2 linked regions of the Arabidopsis thaliana genome follow. The protein of the gene in region 2 interacts with the protein of the main gene of each other region in a pairwise test. Each region holds a gene or a part of one and is shown on either strand. Other genes may lie near its edges.

Region 1 (3,365 bases), 8.1 Mb from region 2:
ACTAGATAGGATAAATGGAGAGGGGATGAAAATTAAAAATAGTGTCTCTCAACAGTCACTACTGCATCTTTGTTAATTTATGATGGGTGTATCATGATATGCTATTTTGCATTTTCCTTTGTTGCAGTGTAGACTACATAGTTATTACCAGCGTAGACCGTGACGATATACCTGATGGTGGAAGTGGACATTTTGCGCAGACTGTCAAAGCTATGAAGGTTATTAATATTCTATTTGTTTATGCATTATGTTATTTAAGCATACCTTTTTGTGCATTTCTCGAATGTTGTTTCAGAGTATTTATGAAAATGAAAATATATATCTCATCTCTGTAGAGACATAAGCCGGATATAATGATAGAATGCTTAACTTCTGATTTTCGTGGGGATTTGGAGGCTGTCGACACTCTTGTGCACTCGGGATTGGATGTTTTTGCTCACAATGTCGAGACTGTGAAAAGGCTCCAGCGACTTGTGAGGGATCCTAGGGCTGGGTGAGTGCTGTTTCTTGTTCTTCATTTTTTTATATGTTCTGCAAATTTGGTTATGGCATAGATGGGCTGAGCAGTGAATTGATCCTCTGCTCCGGGATGTCAATCTCATATTACACAGTCAAATATCTCCTAAAGTGAGACATAGGTGGTGTTCTGCATCTTTAGTTGTAGTAAATCTCCATTTTAATGTGGATATAATGTGGAGAATGCAGATATGAGCAGAGCATGTCAGTTTTGAAACATGCAAAGATCAGCAAACCTGGAATGATCACAAAGACATCCATAATGCTTGGTCTTGGAGAAACAGACGAAGAGTTGAAGGAAGCAATGGCTGATCTAAGAGCTATAGATGTTGATATTCTAACACTTGGCCAGTATCTACAGGTAAACTAATCACTTCAACATTCCCCACATCATTCGCAATATTCCTATTTCCAAGATAGAAAGATCCCAAATTTCAAAGAACATCTACGATTTAAAACCGTTTCTCTTGTTCCACAATGAAGCCAACTCCATTGCATCTGACTGTGAAAGAGTATGTCACACCTGAGAAGTTTGATTTCTGGAAAACATACGGAGAATCAATAGGATTTCGTTATGTTGCAAGTGGTCCACTGGTAAAGCCACAAACTATTTCTTACTCTTTATGTCAAAAAATATCTGAGAACATAGAAGATACAGAAATGTACTTGTTTGATATTGGATATATACTTTTTGCAGGTAAGATCTTCATATAGAGCAGGAGAGCTTTTTGTTAAGACAATGGTGAAAGAAAGCTACTCTAAATCCTTGTCTTAATAACAACAATGGCTACTATAATGCCAAAAATGATTGCTGAGACCACAAAGCCTTCTTCCTATCTTTTTTGTTTGTTTCTTTTAATAGACTTCATTTATTTTGGTAATTGATTTGGAAACCATTGTGGATATATAAAAGTTTATATATACTAGTTTTGTGTTATTATAAAATCCTGCCAATAATATCTGGAAATTGTCTCAAGATATTTACAGTGTTGATTCTCTATCTGAAGCCACAAGTTCCTCATCTCTTACATTGTCTTAAGTCTGACACGCGTCGCCTTTCTTTATCCAAAAATAATCCGACTTTTAATTTAAACCAAATAATTAGCAAAATTAGTAATCACCTTGATTAAATTAACCATCTAATATAAATAGATGAGGGGCTAAATGATATGATCTTTTTTGTTTTCTCTCACACTTTCTTAAGATTTTTTTCTTCGGCTCGGACGCAGATGACTAACAGTTACGCTCTGTCACCGGCGATTATCGCCGCCGTTCGTCCTCCGGCATCTCAAGACTATCTAGTTGCTGCTTCTCTTAGTGGACGCAAATCGATCAACTCTTCATCTTCGTCCATTTTCGTACCTATCTCATTATCTACTTCCTACGGTCGAAGCAAATGCGCCTTCTCAATCTCGCGGAAGAATCCAAAATCGACGATTCGTTGCGATATTGCTGTGAAATCGGCGGCTTCTGTAGACGCGGACGCTGATCTATCGTCATCTACGTCGTTGGAGACGGAGGAAGACGAGAAAGCGAAGGAGAAGATTGGAGCTAGGGTTAGGGTTACGGTTCCGTTGAAAGTTTACCATGTGGTTCGTGTACCGGAGGTTGAATTGATGGGAATGGAAGGTTTTATCAAAGATTACGTCGTTCTTTGGAAAGGAAAGAAAATCTCAGCTAATCTGCCGTTTAAGGTACAGTTCGTGAAAGAGATCGAAGGTCGTGGTCCTGTCAAATTCTTCACGCATCTTAAGGAAGACGAGTTCGAGTTAATTGATCCGTGATTGAATTGAAAAAGGCAAAAACTTTTCTTCTCTTTCTGATATTAGACTTGAAAAATCTTTTGTGAATGGTTTGTTTGTATGTACTTTTGTATACATTTAGCTTATTATATACATAAGATTTCACCCATTCTTGAATCCTTTATTGCTGTTTTCTTGCTTCTGATTTGGTTTCCCAGAGTATATAGTTCGTCTTGTGTTGGAGAAACTAAAAGCTGTCTATTGATCCATTGACTAGCTTAGAAGCCTATCAAACTGATTTTGCATTTGATGTGTTCACTTCAAATGAACATCATTGAATGATCTTATCCTCAAAATCTATCATCCGTTGGAGGTTATGAAGTAGATGGTAGTGAGCATGAAAGTGGTAAAGATATTGGTTTATGTAACTAAAGAGTGTTTTCAGTTGATTGTTATAGTGAGAATCTTTGTTTGTAGTTAGAACCAGAAACTAAAAGGAATGACATCAGTTGTTTTCTAGGTTCTTATCCTCTTTGTTTCGTATAATCAAATGTGGGATTGCATTCTCTGATCTTTGTAGAAGAGTCTTTGAGTTAGAAGTAATGATGGCATGAGAGAGTGTTGAGGAATTAGTTTATGTGTCAATGTGGATGGTTCCTTTGCTGCAACTCTTTTTTGTAGTAATAATATGAGTATATGATGTGGGCAGTAGTATTGTGGTAATTCTTCTCAAGTTGTTAGCATTTTGATTTACTGAGATAAGGTCAGGAGTTGTAGTGGACTCATAAGATTATGTACCAAATGTTGTTACTTCCAATGTGATAAGCTAAGCTATGACCAATCCATGAGGAATATTGTTCCAGCCTTTTTGGGTCTCATTCTCTCTCTCCCCGGTCGCGGTTTACGGATTGGTTTTTTGCTTGTTTGATTTCGATTGGATAAGTTCCGGTTAACCTGATTGAACCGGTTTTAAAATGTTGTAATCCGATAATTATGACTCAAGTCTAATGAAATCTCTGAAATGTGTAAGATCAAAAGTTTATAAACGCAGAAAACTCAACTTGAGCTTGTTGGTTACAGTAACGAGATCGACAAGGAAAAAAAATG
Region 2 (4,669 bases):
AAATGTATGAGCCAACACGTTTCATTAGGCCCACTAATTGATCCCACCGGCCTAGCTGCATGCATATCTTTTTTTTTTGGCAATGTTCTATTTTCCAAATCTTTCAGCATTATACGGAAAAAGAAAAACAAACCAACGAATAAATAACCCATACACGACACGAAAAAAATCCACAAAAAAATGTAGAAATAGTTTCTTGAACAGATAAACCTACTCTTTTGAAAGTAAGACAACAAAAAAAAAAATCTGATAATCAGGGGTGTTCCAGTTTTACCATCGACAAACTTTTTCAAAGTAAATGTATCCACTGTCTGTCCTAATCTAAAGCTGAACAATTAAGGGTTTTAAGCCTCAAAATATATATTTCATTTTGAAAGCACCAAAACTATAAATTTCTTGTAGGACAGTGATTTTTCCGGGTTTTTTTGTTTCTCATGTTATAGGTTTAAGTCTCCAATGCATCATTTTGCTATATTTTAAATATTTATAGGCAAAAAATATTTTGGGTTTTAGGACCAACTCTGAGTGTAGCCGTTGAATAGTCCATTCATCGGATTTTTAATAAACCTTAAACATGACACCAGGTCAAAATAAGAATGATTTAGAAATTGATTCATAACCTAACCTACATAATAATTCTTCCTAAAATAAGACAAAATGTCACACGAAATTATACAGTTTGAGATTTTTCTAAACCACTTTAACATAGAAAAGTCTACAAAATTCTACTAATGGTGTAATAGAGACGTACTTTGATAAAACGTAAATCATTCTTTCAAATAGAGTTGAACTACTGATATTCTCAAAGTCAAACCACCAACATCCACTTGGTTTGCAAGTGTTATGTTTCTCTCTCACTAGATATTCTCTTGATAAAAGGTTTTGCACAAGTGTACTAATATATGCAAAAATAAAGGACCCACCAAAATATGCAACTTGAATTTGGATAGATTCTTATCCAAAAATCAGAAGTTTAGTACATTTCTCTAATCTAACTTCACTTACAAAACTATATATTATGTTCCTCTCGGATCTCTCCTTTCCTTTGTAAAATGCAAATGGGAATATTAAATGGACCCATGAAATGAAGTTACGTTACAAAACCGACGACAACTATAATATTTATTATTTATATATTCTTGTGATGCAGATCAAAATTTAAATTGACTAAAATACCCCTTGCCACGTCAGTCTGACTTGGATTTGCCCCAAAAAGCGTTGAAAAAAATATTATTAAATCCAATAAGGCATAAACAAATATTATTACATGTATATTTTAAATATTACTTTAAGCTCCTCATATTCTTCTGTTTTTATCAATTATACACCAACATTTGTTGTTTATAAATATGAACCCCTAATCGTCCCCTTTCAAACGTGGAATATAAGATCGATATATATTACACATTTGAGTAAACAATTAGGCAATGAAGTTTGTGAAGGAGACTGCATTTCTGATAATCTTAATAATTTTTGTTTTCTTAATAATATTATTTATTTTTTTTATAAAATGGTCTGAAAAATTACAATCATTACATCGTTTCTAACGGTTTTTTCTTTCTTAAAGAATCGTTTTTAAATTTAAAATTTTCGATTATTTTTGATTTTTACCGCTAATCTTGGAATTTATCTTGAGTGCTCAAGAGTGAGTAAAATCCCTTACCTCGAAAAATCCCTTTATGGTAGAGGACGTTGGTGATAGTAACAATTTTTTCTCGTAGCTCGGTCATTGTGTCGGCCATTGTGAGATCGAAGAAAGATATTGAGATAAGGTGGGTTAAGCAGTAGATTCTCCGTTTTCCATTGTCCACTAGGATACAATTTTCTTTTTTGACTCTGATCAGTTTTTTCTATTTTAATTTGTGTATCTTAATATTATTATTCGTTGTAACTGTAGGCGAATCTCACCTTTTTTAAAAACATGTTTTAAGAAAGAAAAAAAAAAGTTTGACACTTTAATTATTTTTTCCATTCTATATATCTTATAAACTAAAAATTGTTCTAAAAAGTAGAAAAATTAGTATAACTAAAACCATATTTCCAGATACTTTTTTCCTTTTATTTATTATTAGTTCTGTTGTTAATAAAAATCGTTATAATTTTTTGTATTATGACCTGTCGTTTTTTAAGATACTACAAGAAAACAGTGACCTAACAGAATAAATCAAAAGTTTTTGCTGTAAATAGAAATACACGACTCTTGTCGGGGCCATTAGGGTAATAATCAGACAATTAAATATCTAACAAAACAACAAAACTTGAAAAGAACATATTATTAAAATGCAAGACTGCCCAATCGGATAAGAAGAAACTGTTTTGACAATTTGAAACCAAAAAAAAATAAATAAAACTAAAGAAACAAACAAATTACAAAAGAGAAAAGATGGAAAAAGTTTTCTCCGACGAAGAAATCTCCGGTAACCATCACTGGTCGGTTAATGGAATGACGTCGTTGAATCGCAGTGCTTCCGAATGGGCATTCAATCGTTTCATACAAGAATCCTCCGCCGCTGCAGACGACGGAGAATCTACGACGGCGTGTGGTGTTTCCGTCTCCTCTCCTCCTAATGTTCCTGTAGATTCAGAGGAATACAGAGCATTTCTCAAGAGTAAACTTAATCTTGCTTGTGCTGCTGTCGCCATGAAAAGGGTACTCACTACTCTGCTCAAGTTTGAGTTTTTTTTTTTTTCATAGAAAAAGAAAAACAAAACCTTTTTATCTGTTAGTTTGATGAGTTCACTTGAAGCTAAGAAACTAATCTTGTTTTGTTATGTTTGAGTGTTAAGATCTTATTGGACCTTTTGTATATGATTTGCCATTATCTTCCTTGAGATTATAATTTGCATTAGTTAATTGATTTTGTGGTGTTAATATTGAAAATTTGATAGGGAACTTTCATCAAACCTCAGGATACTTCTGGTAGATCTGACAATGGTGGAGCCAATGAATCAGAACAAGCCTCTCTTGCTTCTTCCAAAGGTTTTACAATACATCTATGATAAGCCTTTTAAGATGTTATTGATAGTTGTTGTGTTTGTTTTCAAGATTTCTTGTAAATGCTAATGGACCAATCTGTATGCAGCTACACCAATGATGAGCAGTGCTATAACAAGTGGATCTGAGCTCTCTGGTGATGAAGAAGAAGCTGATGGTGAAACTAATATGAACCCTACTAATGTTAAACGCGTTAAAAGGTAACAAATTTACATCCTTTCTTGGACTTGAACATGAACATGAACGTGAATTTGTTTGTTATAGGATGCTCTCTAATAGAGAATCAGCTAGACGGTCCAGAAGAAGAAAGCAAGCACACTTGAGTGAGCTAGAGACACAAGTATGTTACTCTCGCAGCGTTCTTATTCTTTCTCCTTTAACTTTGTTTAGCTCACTTGTGCGACAATCTCCATTTCGTGTAGGTTTCACAGCTTCGTGTAGAGAATTCAAAACTCATGAAGGGTCTCACTGATGTAACTCAAACATTCAATGATGCATCTGTAGAAAACAGAGTTTTAAAAGCCAATATTGAGACACTACGAGCAAAGGTAAAATACTTTCTTTTATCTCTCTGTCTACCAAAACTCGCTATTGAAGCATGTTTGTTTTTGGCAGGTGAAAATGGCTGAAGAGACAGTGAAGAGACTCACTGGCTTTAACCCAATGTTCCACAATATGCCTCAGATTGTTTCAACTGTCTCTCTTCCTTCAGAGACATCAAATTCTCCAGACACTACAAGCAGCCAAGTGACTACACCAGAGATCATTAGCTCGGGGAACAAAGGCAAGGCCTTGATAGGGTGCAAGATGAACAGAACAGCTTCGATGCGTAGAGTTGAGAGCTTGGAACATCTGCAGAAACGTATTCGAAGCGTTGGGGATCAGTAGCTGTTAAAGAAGAATCTTGATTTGTAACATTAATCTTAAGACATATGTTAAGACAAAATGTTGTATGTTTTTGTAAAGAATTGTTTTTTCAGATTATTTAAATTTTTTTTTGTCTTCTTCGTTGATTGTTTGTGTTGAACTTCTAATTTTCATTGTACATGTCTTTTGTTAAATTTACAAAGTTTTTCTAATTTCTGTTAAGAATTACAAGTTTTATCAATTTCACCTAGTGAAACTATTGAAATGGTGATGAGGCAACGATGCAAACGTATAATTTTGGTTATTGAAACTAGAAATTACGAGTTTAATCCCAAATTTCGGCTCTTAGAATCGGGTTTCTATCAATAATTTTTGTTTAAATCCGAATTAGATTATAAATATATATATAAATAAAATAACTATAATTAAACCTTATTAATTTATATTTTTTTTCAAAGTAACCTTTAAATTATGATTTAAGATATTCAATTATGTTCGTTTTTTCGTATCGATTATTTTGATTTGGTTCAGATCGGATAAAACATCTCTAATAAGAATTAATATGCTCTTTTGTAGAATTAATATTCATGAAATATTTAGAAATTTTGTATATTATATAAAATTTAGGAGTACTTTTGACGTATTTTTTTTTGTCGACAATTTCTTTGATTACTAACCCAAAAGGGCAAATTATAAGAGAAGTATAGGTGAAATTTGTGGATCCAAAACCCCATGATATAAGTCCAAACTAAACCCATACAATAATACATCAAATTAAGACTAGGTTTAAAATGAGACACGTGTTAG

The links.
Region 1: the proteins of BZO2H3 (region 2) and FTRA2 interact in a two-hybrid assay, tested with the Arabidopsis thaliana proteins (one large-scale study listed by BioGRID).

What each region holds. Positions count from the first base shown.
Region 1 is NC_003076.8:2,708,909-2,712,273, reverse strand, and holds FTRA2 (ferredoxin/thioredoxin reductase subunit A (variable subunit) 2), read left to right. Parts: upstream 1-1,675; 5' UTR 1,676-1,685; coding exon 1,686-2,300; 3' UTR 2,301-2,464; downstream 2,465-3,365. Other genes in the region: AT5G08415 (Radical SAM superfamily protein), read left to right, coding at 128-218, 336-493, 706-877, 1,000-1,110, 1,214-1,291; AT5G08400 (structural maintenance of chromosomes-like protein, putative (DUF3531)), read left to right, coding at 3,363-3,365. UniProt on the Arabidopsis thaliana protein: Variable subunit of the ferredoxin-thioredoxin reductase (FTR), which catalyzes the two-electron reduction of thioredoxins by the electrons provided by reduced ferredoxin.
Region 2 is NC_003076.8:10,795,862-10,800,530, reverse strand, and holds BZO2H3 (bZIP transcription factor family protein), read left to right. Parts: upstream 1-2,225; 5' UTR 2,226-2,383; coding exon 2,384-2,650; intron 2,651-2,889; coding exon 2,890-2,980; intron 2,981-3,083; coding exon 3,084-3,195; intron 3,196-3,259; coding exon 3,260-3,335; coding exon of another isoform or gene 3,336-3,417; coding exon 3,418-3,543; coding exon of another isoform or gene 3,544-3,610; coding exon 3,611-3,883; 3' UTR 3,884-4,074; downstream 4,075-4,669. UniProt on the Arabidopsis thaliana protein: Transcription factor involved in controlling responses to starvation. BZIP2-BZIP63-KIN10 complex binds to the ETFQO promoter to up-regulate its transcription.